Lonchura striata: one gene and its partners. The protein of the gene in region 2 purifies or fractionates together with the protein of the main gene of each other region. This does not show direct contact. Links are inferred from orthologs where the notes say so. Each region holds a gene or a part of one and is shown on either strand. Other genes may lie near its edges.

The links.
Region 1: the proteins of PHB1 (region 2) and STAU1 purify together in Homo sapiens (affinity purification with mass spectrometry; 3 studies listed by BioGRID). This does not show direct contact. The link is inferred for Lonchura striata from reciprocal best matches to the Homo sapiens genes PHB1 and STAU1.
Region 3: the proteins of PHB1 (region 2) and SLC25A5 purify together in Homo sapiens (affinity purification with mass spectrometry; 3 studies listed by BioGRID and IntAct, with this or other methods). This does not show direct contact. The link is inferred for Lonchura striata from reciprocal best matches to the Homo sapiens genes PHB1 and SLC25A5.

Annotation. Positions count from the first base shown.
Region 1 is NC_134619.1:614,814-622,415, forward strand, and holds the start of STAU1 (double-stranded RNA-binding protein Staufen homolog 1), read left to right. Parts: upstream 1-4,589; 5' UTR 4,590-4,734; intron 4,735-7,602. Other genes in the region: CSE1L (exportin-2), read left to right, coding at 987-1,068, 1,501-1,647, 2,471-2,702, 3,225-3,314. UniProt on the Homo sapiens protein: Binds double-stranded RNA (regardless of the sequence) and tubulin.
Region 2 is NC_134627.1:7,928,006-7,935,137, forward strand, and holds the start of PHB1 (prohibitin 1), read left to right. Parts: upstream 1-4,114; 5' UTR 4,115-4,154; intron 4,155-4,534; 5' UTR 4,535-4,554; coding exon 4,555-4,642; intron 4,643-4,931; coding exon 4,932-5,093; intron 5,094-5,862; coding exon 5,863-6,005; intron 6,006-6,714; coding exon 6,715-6,831; intron 6,832-7,132.
Region 3 is NC_134616.1:8,941,335-8,948,166, forward strand, and holds SLC25A5 (ADP/ATP translocase 2), read left to right. Parts: upstream 1-4,258; 5' UTR 4,259-4,349; coding exon 4,350-4,460; intron 4,461-4,576; coding exon 4,577-5,063; intron 5,064-5,177; coding exon 5,178-5,318; intron 5,319-5,924; coding exon 5,925-6,082; 3' UTR 6,083-6,319; downstream 6,320-6,832. Other genes in the region: SLC25A43 (solute carrier family 25 member 43), read left to right, coding at 1,000-1,134, 2,180-2,383.

The sequences.
Region 1 (7,602 bases), on a different chromosome or scaffold from region 2:
CAACAAGTGTCCTGTTGTGCCCTGGAGGGACAGTGGTGACTCCTAGGACTTGCTCCAAATTCTTTGTCATCAAGAGGGGTGTATGGGGCAGTCACCATAGCAGGTGACACTTTAATGAAATTCAGGGAATGGAATTAAAATAATGAACAAGACTTGTTTTTTTCTCTTCCTTTCCTAGTGTATGATGTCATTATTGAAAATGTCTCCATTTAATCTCCAACCAATAGCAGCAAATTTTCCCTCTGGTGCAGCACAGCAATCTGACCACACGTCCTGTAGTTACCTCTAGTTGTGTGTTAGGGCTGTGAAGTGTTCCATGCTTGTGTCATTTTGGCCTTAGTATGACTAAATTTATTGATAAGGTTTTATGTTGAACTGGCAAAATTGTGACAGATTATTGCAATACATAATCTGATTAATAATCCTGTCACAATAAGATTGTCAGACTTATTAAATTATTTTAATGATACTATCACTACCCAAATTTCACAGTGTCCGTAACTTAACCCTATAAAATCCTATGAGTGTCACCTGATAGGAACAAAAATGATAGAGTTGCTTATAATGGTCTTCCACAAATAAAGTGGAAGTGGTGCTTTTAATATACTGCACCTGTGCAAAGGGGCTCATACCTCAGTCTGTATTGTGTGAAGTTTTCCGCTAAAAATAGAGTTTTTTGAAGAGTTTCTTTGGTTCTTGATCTGAAAAAAAATTGCAAATGACTTTTCTAATGTCTTTTTGTAACTGCTATAAGGGGAAAAAGGAATAACTCTTGTGTACACCTTGTTTTTTTGTTGTGGTATGTGAAAAGATCAGTTTTTATGCAAATTTCCAGGCAGCAAGTTAATGTACTTCACTAAACTGAATGCTTATAAAGACTGCAATTTCTGTCCCCTTGGAAATCTTGGAATGTATTTTTTTGCTGACTCTAAAGCTATTCTTTTGTTTTCCTGTTAAGTTTTACTTTGATTTTTTTCTTGTTACAGGTTTCCTTGTCTTCATTAACTTGTATTGTGTAAGATATGGGGCATTAGCTCTGCAAGAAATATTTGACAGCATACAGCCAAAGTTAGTATGGTTTTTTTGTTTGGGTTATATTTAATACTGCTGTGTTATTTTTATCTTTTGAAGTAAGGAAGAGTTGTCTGTTTAGCTAGAATGTCAGAGTACATTAGTCACTAATTTGACTGGCTAAATGTTTCTCTTAATGCGGTTCATTTATTTGTCTAGAAAATCTTTTTTTCTGAATTTCTGACCACAGTTCCTTGCTGATAGTTCAAGTTATAATCTAAGAAGATTATAAAAAGGAAAGATTGATTTTTTTAGTTGTTGTCCTTAGTGAAAAGTTTGTATGTTCAAATGTTTACTGCAACAGGGCAGCATCCTAACAAATTACCTAGTTGTTTCTCTTCTCTAGTGATTCACATTGTTTCTGATTCTCTTTTGTCACCATAAGGCTAATGAGTCTTTCTAATACTTCTTCTCTCAATGCCTCCATAGGATGTTTGGAATGGTGTTGGAGAAAATTATAATTCCAGAAATCCAGAAAGTGTCTGGACAAGTTGAAAAGAAAATCTGTGCTGTTGGCATTACAAAAATCTTAACAGAATGTCCTCCCATGATGGACACTGAGTACACCAAACTGTGGTAGGTATCACACTTCTTCAGATTGTGCTGGTGAGGCTGTTTGAGTTATTGAAAATGGGAGCTCAGACCAAAATACATCTTTCTTGGAAACTCCATTGTGATCTCCTCAGAGCCACAAGGCTGTTTTCAGCCTTTCATCCTGCTTCTGTTTCTCAACAAATGAAACTGTATTTTCAAAGAGGATGACAGAGCTGGTTTGAGATGTTTTTGATGGAGGCAGCACGGATTTGGCTAGCTGGACCTGCATTTAGGGAAATACACTGCTTTCCTCCAGCTTGTATTCTTTCTGAAAAGCTAGCCCCAGTTTTGACGTACAGCTCTTCTGGTCAGGAGAGCTGAGCATATTCGTAATGTGGCAGAGAAACTGTAATATCTTAGCTTGAGAGTGGAATTCTGGGGAGAGCTACCAGGGACGTTTGGTTGTCAGCCAGTCCAGCAGTCAAGCATGCCCAGTAATTTGAATTTAGTGGCAATCACTGGATCCCAGACTAGATCCCAAACTAGAACTTTTAAAGTACACAGAGGAAAGTTGTGATCTGGAAAATCATGGCTCTTTTCAGATATGTTTAATGACAATTTGACCTGATAAATACATACATTGCTCATGCTGTTGATAGGTGTACTCACATTATGCCTGTAAAATATTGAGACCCACAACTCTCCTGGTCCAGCATGCCTTGGGCATTTACAATTTCAGTAGCCAAGCAAGTACCTGCAAAGGCTAAATTATAAGGTGTTCCAAATAACTTGAGGGTCCTTGTAAAATAGCCCGTGCTAACATATTCTGAGCACTCCAGTTTTGCCCTCCCCTCTCTGCTCCCAGGATTCCTTTGCTGCAGGCCCTCATTGGCCTCTTTGAGCTACCGGAGGATGACACAATCCCTGACGAGGAGCACTTCATTGACATAGAAGATACTCCAGGCTATCAGACTGCCTTCTCCCAGCTGGCCTTTGCTGGGAAGAAAGAGCACGATCCTGTAGGACAAATGGTGAACAATCCTAGAATCCACCTGGCACAGTCTCTGCACAAACTGTCCACGGCGTGTCCGGGCAGGGTAGGTGACTTGTGCACTTGCATGCTGATGCTGCATTCTACAGAGGATGGGTCTCTCTGCTAAAGCTGGATAATCTGCAAAGTGAAGTAGGTCCTAACTACCATGCAAGATAGTGCTGTGTCCAATTCTTCATTGGAATAGAGCTTTTGTAAGGTTTTTCCTTAGGAGCCTTAGAAAGGCTTTATTTTCACAGCATGTAATTTTGCAATAAGCTTAAATATGCCATTTTAAAAAGAAAATTTACACACTTGATGGCCTATAGCTAATATGTGTCTCGAGTTTGGTTGCATGCACTTGCTGAATTCAGGTAGCTCATACAAAATTAGACAAGGTGAGTGTACAGTGAACTCTTTTAGCCCATAGCATGTTTGTGTTCCCCTCGATTTTGGTAAGTAAAGATTGCCTGCTGCTTTCCCCGTGGGTAACTGCGGCTCTGAGTCTGGCTTTGTGCTGTGAGTGACTGCAGGAGGCAGCAGGGGCTTCGTGTTCCACTCATGACACCTCTGCTCCACCTGTGCCCAGGTCCTGTCCATGCTGAGCACCAGCCTGAACGCAGAAGCGCTGCAGTACCTCCAGGGATACCTCCAAGCTGCGAGTGTGAGTCTGCTCTGAGCTGCAGAGGCTCCTCAGCAAGACAGAACCTGCTTTCTTACGCAGAGGGTGGACACTGACTGTTCTATAGCAGAGCCCAGACAACATGAAAAAGCTGCTTGAAATTGTATTGCAGATTCCATCTTGTAAAAGATGAGTGTGGCTTTAAGCTGAAACTGAAGAATTTGATGGTTTGTGTACTCATAGATAAAGGTGGCTAATTTCCATTCCCAGTTTAATTTCAAAGGGAATAGTCATAGCAGTTTGTTATGGGATTGATTTGAAATCTGCAGTGTTTGGATAATATTTGGAAATGTGTGGAGAGCCCTGGCTGTAGAAACTCACTTCAGTGACTAAAATTCCTTTTAATTTTAATGTTGTCCTTTGTATTTCTTTTGTCTTTCCTTAAACTTTATCTGAATTGTGAATAAATAAGTACTTGTTTAAAATGCTTGTCATTGTGCACTTACTGTTTCAGAAAACTATAGCTCTTTTAAAAAAAGATGTTTTACACTTAAGATAGAATATGAAATAGTGGGACTGTGAGGGTTTTTCTTTACACAATAGCTGAAGTGCACTGTAGGATCATGGAGAGCAAACCTACAACTCTGGGAGAAGAGCAGCGCGGTTGTCACTGGCTGCAGGAGGCTCAGATGCTGTCAGGACCTGCACGGAGGGCAGGTGCTGTTCCTGGGAGCGGGATCAGGCTCCAGGGGGGTTTTCCTGCCCTGAGAGTGGCATCGCGTGAGGGCTGCATAGCCTTGGAGTACTTTTCCTTCAGCCGCGTTTTGAACTGTGAGATTTTGTTAAATGCTCCTCCCGCTCCCTCCTGCTGCGGGACCGCCCCGGCGGCGGCTGCGCCCGCTGGTGCCGCCTTTCCTTCGCGGGGGCGCGGCGGCGAGGAGACCGCCCGCGTTGGATGGAGTGGCCCGCATTGGATGGAGTGTGGCCCCACTGGATGGAGTGTGGCCCGCGTTTGGTGGAGAGCGGCCCGCGTTAGGTGCCGTGTGCAGTGTGCCCGCTTTCCGTGCAGGGCCGGGCCGGGCCGGGCGGGGCCGGAAGCGGTGGCGAACGCAGCCGCACCGCGCGGCCCGGTCCCGCGCGGGGCACGCCGGGAGCTGTAGTTTCTCGCTCTGCGTCTCCCGCGGAGCACGCCGGGGCTCGTAGTCGCGGCGGAGGAGGCGGGGCTCCCGGCAGGGCTGCGCGCCCATTGGCCAGGGGCGCGGCGAGGGGCGGTGTCTCGGGGGCTGGCTCGGTGCCCATTGGCCGCGCGGAGGCCCCCGCCCCGCGCGGTGCCGTCAGTTCCGGCGGGCCGCGCCGCCCCGCTCATTCTCTTTGGTGTTTGCCCTGTGCCGCCGGTCCCGGCCCATGGACTGAGCCCCGCCGCTGCCGCCGGCCCATGGACTGAGCCCCGCCCCGGCCGGAGCCGCGCCCCGCGCAGGTGAGGGCCGCGGGGGGCCCGGGCCCGGCGGGGCCGCGGGCGGGGGGCGGCGGGGCCTGGCGGGCCGGGCCGGGCCCGCGGGGAGGGGGCGGCCGGAGCCCCCCGCCCGCTCGGGGCTCGCCCTGTGCCGCTCCCGGCCCGGGGCTCATCCCGTGCGGCCGGACCGTGCCGCTCCCGCGGCGGCGGGGCCGGGAGTCCGCCCCGGCGGCCAGCGGGACCGGAGCGCCGCGGGCCGGCACCGGCACCGGCGGCCCGACCCGCGGGGGAAATGTCAGAGCCGCCCCGGGCGGGCCGTGACTGCGACTCCGGGCGTCCCGGAGCGGCGGCGCGTACCGGGGCCACTGCTGCACGCCGCTCCCGGCGCGGCTCCCGGGGCAGCGCAGCCCGGTCGGCTCCCGGCCCCGGGCCGCGGCCGTGCCCGCCGAGAGCCCGCAGCCAGCGGCGTCCGGGCCGAGCCGTCCGGGGGGACTGCGGGCGCAGCGCAGGGGACGGCAGCGGGGACAGCGCCGGCCCCTCCCGGCGCGGCCGAGCGGGCAGCCCCGGCGTTCCTGCAGTCCCGGCGCTGCTGCACGTTCCCTTTCCCTGGTCCCGAGCAGAACGCTGCTGCAGGATCCCTTCTCCCGTTTCCGAGCAGAACGCTTTTCCGTGCCGTGCACAGCAACAGGTTCTGTCCGGGGCTGGCCCCTGCTCGCAGTCTGTCCCGGCGGTGCAGCTCCGGGCGCTCCGTCCCGGGATGCTGCCCTGCAGTGCCAGAGCCCTTGCTGCGTGCTCCTGGCGTTCCTTTGTGGGCAGGTTTAGGGCAAACCCGGGAGGAACATCCTTTGCAATGTCAGGGAAGCCTAGGTGTATAAACATATATATACACACACATATTGGTGAACTTAAATACCTGAATGAAGTCTATGCTCTGCTTTTGGAATGGTATATTTATAAAATCTTGTTTCCTCTAACTGGAACGTGCAAGTGTACTGCACAGTTCCCTTGCTCAAACTGGAGGCAATGTTTTGGGTTTGTTTTTTTAATACTAGTGGTCGTGAGAATTTGAGTTTTGATTATGCAGCTGTGGCTGCAATATAATAAAGTGATTTCTGGTTTGTCTGTTGATTATTTCATACATGCAACAAATGTGTGTTCTGACTTTTACAGAGATTCACTCAAGGTCTCTCACATCTTGATGAGAATATAAAAAGCCCAGAGGCTGAGATTTTTACTATATTTTCTATTTTTTGAAGTTGTATCACAAACTTATTTCCAAAGTGTTCTAAAAGGATCCATGCAAGAAACAATGTCTTTTTAAGCAGCCACTCTGTTCAAGAGTTTTTCATAACATCATTTTTGCACTACCAGTACAAGTCAGTCAAAATGTGTTTTGTGGCAAAATTATTCATAGGTTGAAATAAATTTGAAGTGATATGACTGTACAAAGTCAGAGCAAAACTGGAATTGCTTTGTGCCTTTCAGACCTTCCTGAAGAACAGCAGCTTTATTTTGGAGACAAATGAACATTCCAAAAGCCCTTCTTCTGGCTCCTTTGGCCAGGGTCCTTGCCAGGGTTGGTTATTTCACTAGAGGGGCTGGAGATGCCCCAGGACACGCAGGAGATCTGGGCACGCTGGCTCTCAGCAGTGTCCGTGGGCTCTGTGAGCTGTTCTACTGCAGGGAAAAAGCCAAAATCCCTGAGCTGTTTTGTCACAACACTAACTGAGCTAGAAGTTTATTCATTGTGTTACTTCCTGGTTTATCAATTTGCTTTGTTTGGAACCATCTGGTTTATGTGTATGTTTGGTAATTCTCTCTTTTCATTCAGCTTTTACTTTCCAATTTCAGCTTTTCTTCTCTTATTAATAATCCATATCTTGGCTCCTAAACTACTTTGCATAACATTCAGTGCTTGTGCCCTTACCAAAAAGAGCAACATCTCTTTCTACAGTGTTACTTTTGGGAAGGACCCTGTCTTGCAGAATTGTTGCAGAAGATTTATCTAAGAAGAAAAGATTGTTCAACCAGTATTTTACACTTTGTGCAGATAGCCTGAATTCTGTAAAATGTAGTAATTGTTCATCAATTTATAGTGAGACTTTCCAGTTGTAAATAGATGCTGTTAAACGCTGTTGCAGCAGCTTGAGAATCTTATGTTGCATGTTGCAAAGCTACCCCTAATGTGGGTTTTTCAAAGCTATTCTAGGTAACAGCATCTCAACAAATCTCCTGGAGTTTGTGGCTATTTATTTTTTGTGCTCAGAGTAGTCGATGGTTGTGTGAGGCATTTGTCCTGCTGCTCAGCTGCTGTGCCAGGTGCTGGTGGGGCAGAGCGGGGAGAGCGTGCAGGCAGGGTGGGGACGGGGGCACGGTAGCGGGCACAGGGAGGTGTCAGGGCCTGCTGAGGAGCAGCCACCTTCTGTGTGCCAGTCCTGACAGGGTGGAACTGTTCTCTCAGGGTTTAGCCTCCTGTTTGCACGCGCTTCTCGCAGCTCAGGGCAGCCTGTGGCGGGCGGTGTGAGGTGAGTGCTGCTGTCCGGCAGAGCCAGCCCCTCGTGTGCCTGGGCCAGGTGCACAGCAGTGTGAGCAGTGCTGGGAGTGCGCCCCGAGGGCCTGAGTGCAGGGCTCTGTCTGTCCCTCTGCAGAGCAGGGCTGCCAGCGCAGCCTCCTGCGTGCCTGGCATGGCCTGCAGTGGCCTGCAGGACCTGGCAGGTCCTTGCCACCGGCGGGGACCCCTCTGTCAGCAGAGCAGGGCGTGCAGTGTGACTGTCAGGAGCGCTTTTCTTGGTGCATTTTACACCCATTGCCTCTCGTTCTGTCACTTTAGCCACACAGAACAGATTGTTCTTTCCCACTCCAAAATCCTTTCAATTCCATGAACTCCTGGTT
Region 2 (7,132 bases):
GACTCGCCCCTGGCCGGGGCCCGATCGATCCCGGGGCTCGGAACGGGCTCAGGAGGGACCCGCCGGGGTCACCCGGCCGCGGACGAGCACCTGGGACTAATTGCAGGGAATAAATGAGCAATTAAGGGCGCTAGGGCAGGGCTGGAACATCCCAGACCTCCGGCTGACCCCCGGGCGGTATCCCTGGAAACGGCCGCACCGGGATCGGGATGCTCAGCCCGGCCGGCACCGGCGGCACCGGGGCCCTCCGAGCCCCCCCGGCGGCGGAAGCGGCTCCGGCCCCACCGGCAGCTGGGGCGGCCGCACTGAGGCGCCTTTGTCCGGCACAGGGCTGGGTTTACCCGGGGAGAGAAGGGTTTGTCTTGGAGCAGGCAGGATTTACCCGGGGAGGGCAGGATTTGTCCCGGGGAGGGCAGGATTTATCCCGAGGAGGGCAGGATTTGTCCCGGGGAGGGCAGGATTTGTCCTGGGAGGACAGGATTTGTCTTGGAGGGGGCAGGATTTATCCCGAGGAGGGCAGGATTTATCCCGGGAGGACAGGATTTGTCCCGAGGAAGGCAGGATTTGTCCCCGGGAGGGCAGGAATGGAAGCACCGTTAAGGGCCGGTAGCACCGTGGAGAACCGGGCAGCCCCGGGCGGGCAGAACGGGCCGGTCCCGCTGCCCCCGCGGCGCTGCGGGCACCGCCCAGCCCGGCACGGGGGGCTCCGCTCGGGGCTGCACCCGGGTTATCCCCGCTGGCACCGGGGACGGTCCCGCTGCTCCCCAAAACCTCCGCGATCCTCCCACCCACCCCAAACCTGGCCCGCCCGGGGGTCCCGGTGCCCGCCCGGGGTCCCGGTGCCCGCCCGGGGTCCCGGTGCCCGCCCGGGGTCCCGGTGCCCGCCCGGGGGGATTTTTGGCTCGCCCGGGGCTGGCTGAGCGGAAGGCAGGCTGGCTTTTAAAGCAGATTAATTAAGCTGCACTGCGGGGCCAGAGCTCAGAATGCAAACAGCCGTAATTCGATTTCTCTGACTTGCAAATCGCGGCAGGGAACGCGGCCGAAATCACATTAAGGCCGTTTCCACCCCGAGCCGTGTCCTCGCAGGGCTTTAATGCAGTTTCACTAATTGAATTTCAACGCTTATTGAGCTTAATTCGGGTTTGTGCCGGGCGCGGGGCTGGGCTGGGACCCCCCGGGCTGGGCTGGGACCCCCGGGAAAGGCTGGGCTGAGACCCCCGGGAAGGGCTGGGCTGGGACCCCCAGGAAAGGCTGAGACCCCTGGGACCCCCAGGAAGGGCTGAGACCCCCGGGAAAAGCTGGGACCCCCTGGAAATGCTGGGCTGGGACCCCCCGGGCTGGGCTGGGCTGGGTTGGGACCCCCAGGAAGGGCTGAGACCCCCGGGAAAGGCTGGGCTGGGACCCCGGGGAAGGTTTGGGACCCCCAGGAATAGCTGAGACCCCTGAGACCCCCGGGAAGGGCTGAGACCCCCGGGAAAGGCTGGGCTGGGACCCCGGGGAAGGTTTGGGACCCCCAGGAACGGCTGAGACCCCTGGGCTGGGCTGGGCTGGGACCCCCGGGAAGAGCCGGGACCCCCCCTAAGGACGGGCTGGGTGGGAGTGGGATCAGCGCCAGCCCCACACCGGATTTGGGGTGGAAAAACCCCAAATCCCGCCGCCCCCCCCGGGCGTGGCCGCGGCCCGGAGTCCCCGCGGGTCCCCCCGGCCCCGGGGCCGCCCCGGCGCGTTCGTGCCGCGGGGATTTGGGAGCGGCGGAGGCGAAGAGGAGGCGCTTTGTTCCCAGCCCGGGGGACAATGAGCCCTTCTTGGCCCGACGGAAATCCCCAAAACCGGAGCGGCCCGGGAAGGGCCGGGAGGGGCCCCGCGCGGCTCTGGGCCGCGGTTCTGTGCCACCCCCCAAAAACGGGGTTCTGGAGCTGTTTTGGGGTGCGGTTCTGTGCCACCACCCAAAAACGGGGTTCTGGAGCTGGTTTGGGGGTGCGGTTCTGCTGCCACCCCCCAAAAACGGGGTTCTGGAGCTGGTTTGGGGTGCGGTTCTGTGCCACCACCCAAAAACGGGGTTCTGGAGCTGTTTTGGGGTGCGGTTCTGTGCCACCCCCCAAAAATGGGGTTCTGGAGCTGTTTTGGGGTGCGGTTCTGTGCCACCACCCAAAAACGGGGTTCTGAAGCTGTTTTGGGGTGCGGTTCTGTGCCACCACCCAAAAATGGGGTTCTGGAGCTGTTTTGGGGTGCGGTTCTGTGCCACCACCCAAAAAAGGGGTTCTGGAGCTGTTTTGGGGTTCGGTTCTGCTGCCACCACCCAAAAATGGGGTTCTGGCTGAGTTCTGGGGTTCGGTTCTGCTGCCACCACCCAAAATTGGGGTTATGGCTCAGTTCTGGGGTGCGGTTCTGTGCCACCACCCAAAAATGTGGTTCCGGAGCTGTTTTGAAGGTGCAATCCCACAGCCAGCCCCTAAAAAAGCAATCCCAGCCCAATTTTGGGGTGCAACCCCAAGAACGCACTCTCAGCTCAATTTTGGGGGCCTCTATGTCCCCCTGGCCCTTCCTGGGAATCTCCAGCCCCTCGCAGCTGGGAACGGGAATGGGGAGAGCTCATCCCACTTGGGAACGGGAATGTGGGAATGGGAATGTGGGAATGGGAATGTGGGAATGAGAAATGGGAATGGGAATGTGGGAATGGGAATGGGGAAATGGGAATGGGAATGTGGGAACGGGAATGGGAATGGGAACGGGAACGGCAACGGGAATGGGAATGGAAATGTGGGAATGGGGAGAGCTCATCCCGCATGGGAATGGGAACGGGAATGGGAATGGGAACAGGAGTAGGAAAAGGAATGGGAATGGGAATAGAAACGGGAATGAGCAACACGACCCCGGCAGGAACGAGGACGCTGCAAATCCCGAGCCGTAAATCCCAGATTTAATGGGATTTCCCCGCTGGATCCAGCGGGGTCACCTGGCAGCGGAACCCGCCGCGGGCGCGGGGGCGGCGTGGGGATTTTTTCCTCTTTTTTCCCTCTTTTTTCCCCGTTTTTCGGGATTCCCGGAGCCAAAGGGAGAGCGCTGCTTCCCTCTAGCGGCCCCGGGACAGGAGGGGACCGGAGCGGGAACGGCCCCGGGACAAGGGGGGACAGCGAATCCCGGGGTCCGCGGCTCCAGGAGCTGCTGGGAAGGGCCCGAGGGAGGCCACGGGAATGATTTGGGGTCTGGAAAACCTCGGGCGAGCGGAGAGAGGGAAGGGTAGACCGGAGGAGGGAAGGCTGAGAGCAGGAATATCCCACATTTCTGTGGAAATATGTGAAATATCCATAGAAATCTGTCACTGCAGAGGGGATCCCGTCACTGCATGAAAACACCTCAGATATCCATGGAAATATGTCAAATATCCACGGGAATATCGCAAATATCCACGGAAATCTGCGACTGGAGAGATTCCCACCAACACATGGAAATATCTCAGATATCTGTGGAAATCTCTCATTTTGGGAAAGGGATCCCACCAATGCCTGGAAATATCTCAGATATCCGTGGAAATCTCTCATTTTGGGAAATATCTCAGATATCCGTGGAAATCTTTCATTTTGGGAAAGGGATCCCACCAATGCCTGGAAATATCTCAGATATGCATGGAAATCTCTCATTTTGGAAATGGGATCCCACCAACGGATGGAAATATCTCAGATGGCCAGAAGTGAACCCCAAGTCCCCCTCGGCAGGAGGCGGAGCTGGCCCCGAGGGTGGCCGGGACCGGTGACCAGGAAGGGCCGGGGGACATTCCGACCCCGCGGGGACCCTGCCTGGGCAGGTGGCCCTGCCCGGGTGACCTCGGGGGTCCCTGCCCAGCTGCTCTGGCGTTCCGGGGCGGGCAGCGCTGTCCCCGCCCGTGTCCCCCGCCGGTCCCCACGAGCCCCCCAAGCGCCTTCCCCCGCCAGGACTACACCTCCCAAGAGGCAGCGCGCCGCTCCGGCCAATAGCGCGCGGCCTTGCTCAGCCAGCGGGGCACAGCGGAGCCGATAGGCCGGGCGGCAGCGGGCGCGGCAGAGAGAACTACATATCCCAGAGAGCCCCGGGGGGCGCGGGCCAATGAGGAGGGCGCGTCTTGGCGCGGCGCGCAGGCGCGCTGGGCAGGGGGGCGGCGGCGGATTCATGTGGAGGTCAGCGGCGCGGCGGGAGCGGCGGGCGGGGGGCGGCGGTGGGTCCGGGACCGGGAACCGGGAATCGGGAACCGGGCACACAGCCAGGCCTTGCCCCCTGGCGGGCCCCTGCTGCGGGCGAGCGGCCTAGGAGGGAGCGGGCAGGGGGAGGCCTGGGGGGTGCGGGGGGCCCCGGGGGCGGCGGGACCGAACCCGGGGAGGGAGATGGGAGGGAGACCCCCAGGGATGGGGGGACCCCCGGGATGGGGAGAGACCCGGGAATGGGGGGGACCCCCGGGGCTGGGGAGACTCACAGGGCCGAGGAGACCCCTGGGGCTGGGGGGGGACTCTTGGGGCTGGGGAGACCCCCGGGCAGGGCTGAGCGCTGCGGGGCGTCGCAGGCGGGCTCTGGAGCGGTGAGATGGCTGCCAAGGTGTTCGAGAGCATCGGGAAGCTCGGGCTGGGCTTGGCCGTGGCGGGGGGAGTCGTGAACTCGGCGCTTTACAACGGTGAGTGGGGCTGGGTGAGTGGGATGGACTCAGTGAGTGGGACTCGGTGAGTGGGACTCGGTGAGTGCCCCGGGTCTGTGTTTCTGCCCCAATCCTGTTTTCCCCGTGCTTTATCACCCGATAAATCCACACCGAGTCCATGCAGTGCCGCGGGAGCTCCTTCCTCCCAAAGCCTCGGAGCTGCCCCGGGGGCCCCACAGCTCCGCCCGCAGCTCCTCCGGCCTGGGTTGATTAACTCCGCCGTTAATTTCCCGCCGTGCCGCTAATTGCGCGCTCTCTCCCCCCGCAGTGGACGCGGGGCACAGGGCCGTGATCTTCGACCGCTTCCGCGGCGTGCAGGACGCCGTGGTGGGCGAGGGCACGCACTTCCTCATCCCCTGGGTGCAGAAACCCATCATCTTCGACTGCCGCTCGCGGCCCCGCAACGTCCCCGTCATCACCGGCAGCAAAGGTGGGTGCAGGCGCCCTGGGGTGCCCAGGGGTGTCCAGGGCCACACAGGGGCACCCAGGGGTGTCCAGATGCACCCCGGAGCTCCCAGGGGCACACAGGGGTGTCCAGAGGTCTCCAGGGGCATCCAGGGGCACCCAGAGGTGTCCAGGGGCACCCAGGGGTGTCCAGGGGTGTTGTTGTTGAAGCAGGACGGGAATGAAGAGACTCTGACTAGATCAGAAGGCTGTGAGAGTGAAACTCTGATTTATTTAAAATACACTGTTTGTGAGGACTAAATCTATTGGTTGGGAGGGGTCCCTGGAGCTCACCTGGCCCAGGTGACACTGGTGGGGTTTGGGAGGGATCCCTGGAGTTCACCTGGGGTTTGGGAGGGGTCCCTGGAGCTCACTTGGCCCAGGTGACACTGGTGGGGTTTGGGAGGGGTCCCTGGAGCTCACCTGGGGTTTGGGAGGGGTCCCTGGAGCTCACTGGGGTTGGGAGGGGTCCCTGGAGCTCACCTGGCCCAAGTGACACTGGTGGGGTTTGGGAGGGATCCCTGGAGCTCACCTGGGGTTTGGGAGGGATCCCTGGAGCTCACCTGGGGTTTGGGAGGGGTCCCTGGAGCTCACCTGGCCCAGGTGAGGTGGCGGGGCTGGAATTCTCCCCGCAGCAGCGCCGGGCAGGCCGGGGGGGATCGGGGATCCTCGGCAGCTCGTGCTGCTGCCGGAGCGGGGCCGGGGGCGCCGGGGGAGCCCGGCCCCGCTCCCGAGGCGCCGCTGCCGCTCCGCAGACCTGCAGAACGTCAACATCACCCTGCGCATCCTGTTCCGGCCCGTCACGGCGCAGCTGCCGCGCATCTTCACCAGCATCGGCGAGGACTACGACGAGCGCGTGCTGCCCTCCATCACCACCGAGATCCTCAAGTCCGTGGTGGTGAGCGCCCGCGCTGCCCCGGCGCTCCTGGCAGCGTGCTCTCTCCTGGTGCCTCCCATTCCATCCTGTTCCCAGCAGTGTCCGTCCCATTCCATCCCATTCCCAGCAGTTTCCCTCCTGTGCCCAGCAGTTTCCATCCCATTCCATCCCATTCCTAGCAGTTTCCCTCATGTTCCCAGCAGTTTCCATCCCATTCCCTCCTTTTCCCTCCTGTTTCCTCTGTTCCATCCCATTCCCAGTAATTTCCCTCTGGTTTCATCCCATTCCCGGGGGTGCCCATCCCATTCCCAGGAGTGCCCATCCCATTCCCGGGGGTGCCCATCCCATTCCCAGCGGTTTCCATCCCATTCCCGGGGGTTCCCATCCCATTCCCGGGGGTGCCCATCCCATTCCCAGCAGTTTCCATCCTATTCCCAGGGGTTCCCATCCCATTCCCGGGGGTGCCCATCCCATTCCCAGCGGTTTCCATCCCATTCCCGGGGGTGCCCATCCCATTCCCGGAGGTGCCCATCCCATTCCCAGGAGTGCCCATCCCATTCCCAGGGGTGCCCATCCCGTTCCCAGCGGTTTCCATCCCATTCCCAGTGGTTTCCATCTTGTTCCTGGGGGTGCCCATCCTATTCCCAGGGGTTCCCATCCCATTCCCGGGGGTGCCCATCCCATTCCCAGCGGTTTCCATCCCATTCCCTCCGTCCCTCCGTGCCCCCAGGCGCGCTTCGACGCGGGCGAGCTGATCACGCAGCGGGAGCTGGTGTCCAGGCAGGTCAGCGAGGACCTGACGGAGCGCGCGGCCACCTTCGGGCTCATCCTGGACGACGTGTCCCTGGTGAGCCCCGCCGGACGCTCGGACACTCGGACGCTCGGACACGCGGCTCTGCCGCTGCCCCGTCACTCGGGCAGCCCCCGGTGCCTCAGCCCTGCCGTGCTGGGATCTGTCACCCCACAGGAGCTGCTTTGGGATGGGGCAGCAGCTCCACAGGCACCCCTGGAAGCACCAGGAGGGGAAATTCCCACTGGTTCCGCCGCTAAGATATCCAAGGAGGGAGCTCTGCCCTCCCAGCTCCCCTAGAATTAAAACTGATCCCACTGGGAGCGCAGCCTGTGCGGGAGGTGACTTTGTTTCTGCC
Region 3 (6,832 bases), on a different chromosome or scaffold from region 2:
GGATCATGATACCCATATTCATCCACTAATTACCTGTACAAGCCCCATTTTTATCAAACTTCTATCTTAGGATGATCAGTTTGCAAGGCATCAATCTGTGTCCTGGGGCCCCTGACACTGAAGTGTCATTTGTCAGTTGAGTGTCACTTGTGTCAAACACAAGTGTCACTTGTGCTTGAGTGAAACCCTGATTTGTCAATGCAAGATAAATCCATGGCTGCATGTGCACAGATGGATGAGGATGAGATTATTCAAGGTCAGGTTATCCTGTCTGTGCTAATGCAGTAGGAGATTAATGAAGAAGGATTTAGCTGTTAAAAATGACCAACTACACTTCTTCCATGTGAACAGACACTGTATTGCAGTTAGAAGTTCAGCTGCCAGCCAGCAGGATTCTCCCCAGGTAACTTTAACTAGTACCTATCAGCTGAGCACATTGATATGGGAGCATGGGCACCAACTGCTCACCTGCAGCCCTTGGTGGGCCTGAACAGCCTGGGCTGAAATCTCCATCCTTCCATTTCTGCTGTGCTGCTGCTCCTCAGCCTGTAGTGCAGTTCATGCTTCTCACAGCAGTGCAGGCACAGCCTCAGCAGCCAGAGACAAGTCAGCTGGTTTGATCAGGGGTACAGGAAGGCAGTGTGGCTCCAACCTTCCCTCTCATAGTGTTCCACTGCCAGGAGTGTGAAATAGCTCTACCTGGACCTGAGCAGTTGGCATGGGGCTGATGGGATGTGTGGCTCTGGTTCAGGTGGTTTGTCCTCAAAGAGTGGGATTTATTTCTAGTAGTGGCATGGTGCAAAAGGAGGCACTGTGTGAAATTACTGTTCACTTTCATACCTATCAAAGAGTGAGTTCTTTCCCTTTTTAATTTATATTTTAATGCAAAACTGGGAGGAATCCAGATCTGTCTGTTGAAACCTGGTGTTGACTGTTCCTTATATACAAGGATGGAGAAAATAATTGTTGTTCTAAATCCCTCTGGGTGTCTCTTGACAGGCTCAGAGTCCTTGGCTTCCCCACTATGGAGGAGTTGATGTCCATTTTACTGGCATGACTGACTGCTTCCGGCAAACTGTGAAGAACAAAGGTGTGCTTGGGCTTTGGAGTGGACTCACACCCAGTCTGCTCAAGGTGAGGTGTTGCTTTCATCCCAGTCAAACACTATCCCGAAGGAATCAAGACAGTTTTGGGCAGTTGGGGATAGAAAGCTTATGACATACTTTTGTACTTAGTAGCTTATAGATGACAGAATCAGTGACAAAACAGGTTATAAAGCAGCCTTGGAACTTGGTTTGGTTGTATTTCTCCAAATACAAGCTTGGTTTCTAGATGTCACCACTTGAAAGTTCATTTCAACATCTTTGAAGGGGGTGCTCCTAACACACAAGGTGTGGAATGGATGAGGGATTGCAAGCAATCCACTTAGGACAGCTAAACAAGTTCTCCTGACCTGAGCTTCAGTGATTTGATATGTTGTAGTGAGCTGTAAAAGAAGTGTGCTTGTATAAGCCACTTGCCCAGAAGTCCAAAAGCAGTGCTTTCAGCCAGCTATTTAATACATGTGCTTCAGTTACTGCAGATTTGCTGAGTTGAAGACATGAAATAAAGCATGGTAGCTTAAACAGAAGGTAATTTAATTTACATAAATACATTTTACAGTGCTGTGATGAGGATTACCTACAGAGAGCACTATAGGTAAGCTAATGAGTGCTAATTGAGTGACAGTAGGTTTGATTGTCATGGCCTGCCTGTGACTGCCTTGCCTTGGCTGATACGAAGCCAGTGGCCCTGGAGCTGCTGGTTCTGCATGGGGCAAGAGAAGAAAATTGTGGAGTCACTCCAGTGTGTGTAGAATAAATTCCACATTTCCTGCCAGGATTTGCTGAGATTGCTTAGGATGTGCTTGGGTATTTGACAAGTTCTGGTAATCTATAGGGTAGCACAGACCTTCTTCCTCACAATATTGCTATAATTAGTTATGTAACAACAATAAACTCCTACTGTTAGCACACTGCAGCTGCCAGTATAGCTTGAGATGAGACTCTGATTTTATATAAATGAGGACAAGGTCTATTATTAGATCAGATCTGAAGTCCTAGAAGTTCCCTTTTTTTAAAACATCTATGCTATGGATGTTTTGAGTCTAATTTTTTTTCTTATATTGCTTTTTTATCAGATTGTGCCATACTTCGGTGTTATGTTTAGCACCTTTGAATTCTGCAAGCGGGTTTGTCTCTACAGAAATGGTTATATTGAATCTCCTTTAAATTACAAGCTAACACCTGGCGTTGACCAGAGTTTACACCCACAAGAACTGAGAGAATTGAAGCTCCTCCGAAGGGAAAATTTTGAGCCAAGGAAATCAGCACTTGAAAACTGACATCAGAGTGTCCACTGCAGATACACAAATACCTTTCTTGAGGGACTTTGCAAGAAAGACATGCTGAGCTACAGGTACTGACATTTCAATGGACTGCATGATTTTTGTAGTGAGACACCTGTGATAGGAAAGAATAAATCTGTATTGTATTTGCTGAATGGATGTAAAGAATATGTCTGGCAAGCACATACTGAAGAGGAAAGATGCAACTAGTTTGAAAACTCTATACTACTGGAACTTGAAATGGCATTAATTTAGGTGCTTTTTAAAACTGAATAGCCATTTGAGATTAAACCAAGTTCAGAAAGGCAAGAGAATAGAAATGAGATTATAAATTGTCTCCAAAAACATTAAGAAAATGGATTTTCATAAAGCAATCTGAGATACCAAGTCAGCTAAAAATAATAAAACAGAATAAAATACATACAACATGCAAGAATTTCTACTGAAATCTCCAGGCTTTTTAGTAATACTGCCTAGTAATGGTGTTTCTTTCTCTGTGTCTGTTTTCCCATGGGCACAGGGCAGGTAATAATACTGAGACTTACTGGACATGTATGGATATGGAGATGTGAATTGTAAGCATGTTGGGGAGGAAAGAATTTCTTGCCTTGTCCAAGCATACTTGTATGTTTTTTACTAACACTGTATTTCTAAATAGATTTGAAAGATTGGGTACATATGAATGTCTGATCAACTCTTCAAACCTTTGAAGAGTCAAGTGAGTCAAAGTTATCTCTAACTTGTTTCTGATGTGCTACTACCACCTTTGTATCATAGTGCATTCCTACGACCTATCAAGCACTACCTAACCTTTTATCAACCAAGCCTGGCCTTTGTAATCACAAATACATGTGATAAATCCCCAAAAGGCAGCACTAAAATATTTAAGATGTCACTGAAAGAAGGCCCTTCATCAGTGGAGCACTAACGTGCAATGGTGTATGACCATGAAGAACCAGTCAGCAGCAAGGCTAAATTCTTGGACAGGTGAAGTTGTACTCGAGTGACATTTGGATGCCGCTGGGTGATGGGGGGCGGGTTGTACCTGCTGAGCTTCTGTCTGAGCATCTCAGCTGAGCTCAGCACTGCACAGGGGCTCCACCCACGGATCAGGAGCTCGGTCACTGCCGGTGTGCGGGTGACAGCATCCCGAGGGGTGCCCGGGCGGCTCCCGGCAGCGCTGAGAGAGATGGGGGCCTGGCCGCCTCCGTGGGTGAGGCAGCCTCAGAGCCCGCCCCGATCCAGCCCGCGCCATGGCCGTGCTGTGCCGTGCCCGCCTGCTCTCGCCACGGCATCGGGATGGCCCCGCCACCGCCGTGCGCTGTGCGCTGTGCCCGGGGCAGGGACAGGCGGCGTCACCGGCCAGGGCCGCATTTACGGCCTGCCCGCGGTGCTGGTGGGATCCTCCACGCCGTGATGCTCCGTCCCGGCGTGCTCCATCCCGGGATGCCCCGTCCCGGTGTGCTCCATCCCGGGATGCCCCGTCCCGGGGATGTCCATCCCGGGATGCCCCGTCCCGGGGATGTCCATCCCGGGATGCCCCGTCCCGGCGTGCTCCATCCCGGGATGCCCCGTCCCGGTGTGCTCCATCCCGGGATGCCCCGTCCCGGGGATGTCCATCCCGGGATGCCCCGTTCCGGTGTGCTCCATCCCGGGATGCCCCGTCCCGGGGATGTCCATCCCGGGATGCCCCGTCCCGGTGTGCTCCATCCCGGGATGCCCTGTCCCGAGGATCTCCATGCCGGGCTCCCCTCACCGCGGCCATGTGCCCCCCACCGCTTCCAACGGCGGCCCCGTCCCCCTGCGGCGGCCACGCCCCCTGCCGCAGCCAATGGGCGTGCGGGCCGTGCGCCCCGCCCGCGCGCGCGCTCCCGGCCCCTATATTAACGGCCATTGCGGCGCCCCCTCAGCGCCGCTCCCGCCTTCTCGCCCGGCATCGCCTCCCGCTCGCGCCGCTCCCGCCATGACCGATGCGGCCGTGTCCTTCGCCAAGGATTTCCTCGCCGGCGGGGTGGCAGCCGCCATCTCCAAGACAGCTGTCGCCCCTATCGAGAGGGTCAAGCTGCTGCTGCAGGTGAGCGCCGGCGGCCGGGGCCGTTCCAAGGTCGCCGCAAGGAGAGGGCGGGCGGCGTTGGTGGGCCGGGGGCTGGCGGGGGAGCGGCGCTGACAGCGGCATCTCGGCCCCTGCAGGTGCAGCACGCCAGCAAGCAGATCTCCGCCGACAAGCAGTACAAGGGCATCATCGACTGCGTGGTGCGCATCCCGCGGGAGCAGGGCATCCTCTCCTTTTGGCGCGGCAACCTGGCCAATGTGATCCGGTACTTCCCCACCCAGGCCCTCAACTTCGCTTTCAAGGATAAGTACAAGCAGATCTTCCTGGGCGGCGTGGACAAGCGAACCCAGTTCTGGCGGTACTTCGCCGGTAACCTGGCATCCGGGGGTGCCGCCGGCGCCACCTCCCTCTGCTTCGTCTACCCCCTTGACTTTGCCCGAACCCGCCTGGCAGCGGATGTGGGTAAAGCCGGGGCCGACCGGGAGTTCAGTGGGCTCGGTGACTGCCTGGTCAAAATCTTCCGCTCGGATGGCATTCGGGGCCTGTACCAGGGCTTCAGTGTCTCTGTCCAGGGCATCATCATCTACAGAGCCGCCTACTTTGGCATCTACGACACTGCCAAGGGTAGGTTGACCCAAACGGCACAAAAACAGAGCTGTAGGCTGCGGCAGGCCTGAAGTGCATTTCGATAGTGCTGGTGGCTTACCTGCCGTTCTCATCAAAGCCTCTCTCCTGCAGGCATGCTTCCAGACCCAAAGAACACCCACATTGTTGTCAGCTGGATGATTGCTCAGACCGTCACTGCTGTCGCTGGTTTGGTCTCCTACCCTTTTGATACGGTTCGTCGTCGCATGATGATGCAGTCTGGCCGGAAAGGAGGTAAGTTTCTTCCTCGCTGTATAAGAGTTATTGGGCATCCCTGAATCAATAGCTGGTGGTGGAGCTGAAGTGAAGGCACAGTGGCTTGGCTTTCATCAGCCTGTGTAGATATCCTCATCTCTTGTAAGCAGGGATGTAGGAGGGGCTGCAGAAGCAGGTGACAGGAAGGAACACGAATGGGTCAGCCTGTGCAGCACACCTGTAAGGTGGCATGCACAAGTCAGGTATATGTCAGTAGGTAGGAGGAGCAGAAACCACCCTTGGATGTTGCAAGTCAATGTCTCTGGGACAAGAAAATACAGCCTCCATTGTAGGCACAGCCTGGCCAACTGTGCGGTAGCTTTTGGGTTTGGAAGTGTTGGTGTCAAAGCAAGGAGTTGCAGCCTTCTGCTTGAACTGGTCCTCCCAGTGTCTCTCAGAGACAATGCAGCAGCAGCACCATCTCTCCTGGGCAGTCTCGTCCTCTGATGTGCTAGTATTGGAGAAAGTCAGCCAAGAAATGGGATGCACTTGAGGTTGTAAAGCTAGTAGATACATGAGGCTGTTTCTGACTTGGATGTTGGGGGTCGTGGGCATCCAGTTGCTAAAGCTGTCTGTCTCCTGCAGCTGACATAATGTACTCCGGCACTCTTGACTGCTGGCGGAAGATTGCCCGGGATGAGGGCTCCAAGGCCTTTTTCAAAGGTGCATGGTCAAACGTACTCCGAGGAATGGGTGGTGCTTTTGTCTTAGTCCTCTATGATGAAATCAAGAAGTATACATAAGTTGTTTCCTATTGTGAACTGGCATGTTGTTCTGTGTAGTCTATGACTGTTCACGGACTTGTTTGAAAACCATCTAGTTACTAAACAGTGGCAGCTGATGTTTGTACAGGTTGGCATGGGGCAGAGGTGACTGCCTGCCCTATCTTTATCAAACTATTCCCCCGATGGGACTCATGATGGTTTCTATTTCAGTCACTCCTGCTTAAAGAGTACAGAGAAATAAAAATCTGAAACCAATTTTCCTCATCTCATGTTTGTTCTTACAGCATTTGAAGTATGAGGGGGTTGGGAGTCTCAGCGGTTGTAGAGAAGGAGGAAGATGAACCACCTCTATCCTGCAAGCCTCAGAACCTGCTAAGTACTGGCAGGTAAACACAGTGCAGGCTGCCAAGGAAGCTAGGTAGTGTTTCCTCCCCAGGGGAAGCCAGTAGTGTAGGCTTGAATGGGGACTGGCAGCTCTGAAGGGCTCACCCAGCTGACCTCCCTGAGACTCAGCTCTCCAGAGATGATGGACTGAGTGTGTGCCATAGTCCTGTCTCTGGCCTGTCTGCTCCTTGGAGCTCATGAAACCTGATTTTGGTGGTGCCAAGTGCCTTAATTGTGTGTAAAGCACAGCACTCCCTATGGCACTGGATGTCTGGGAGGCTGGAAGAATGTGTAAGGGAGGGGCAGAGCTTGGAGTCATGTTCTCTCCCTTAGAAAGTGAGCTACCTAATTGGGCATGTAGGTAGCCAGAGGACAGAAGTGCAG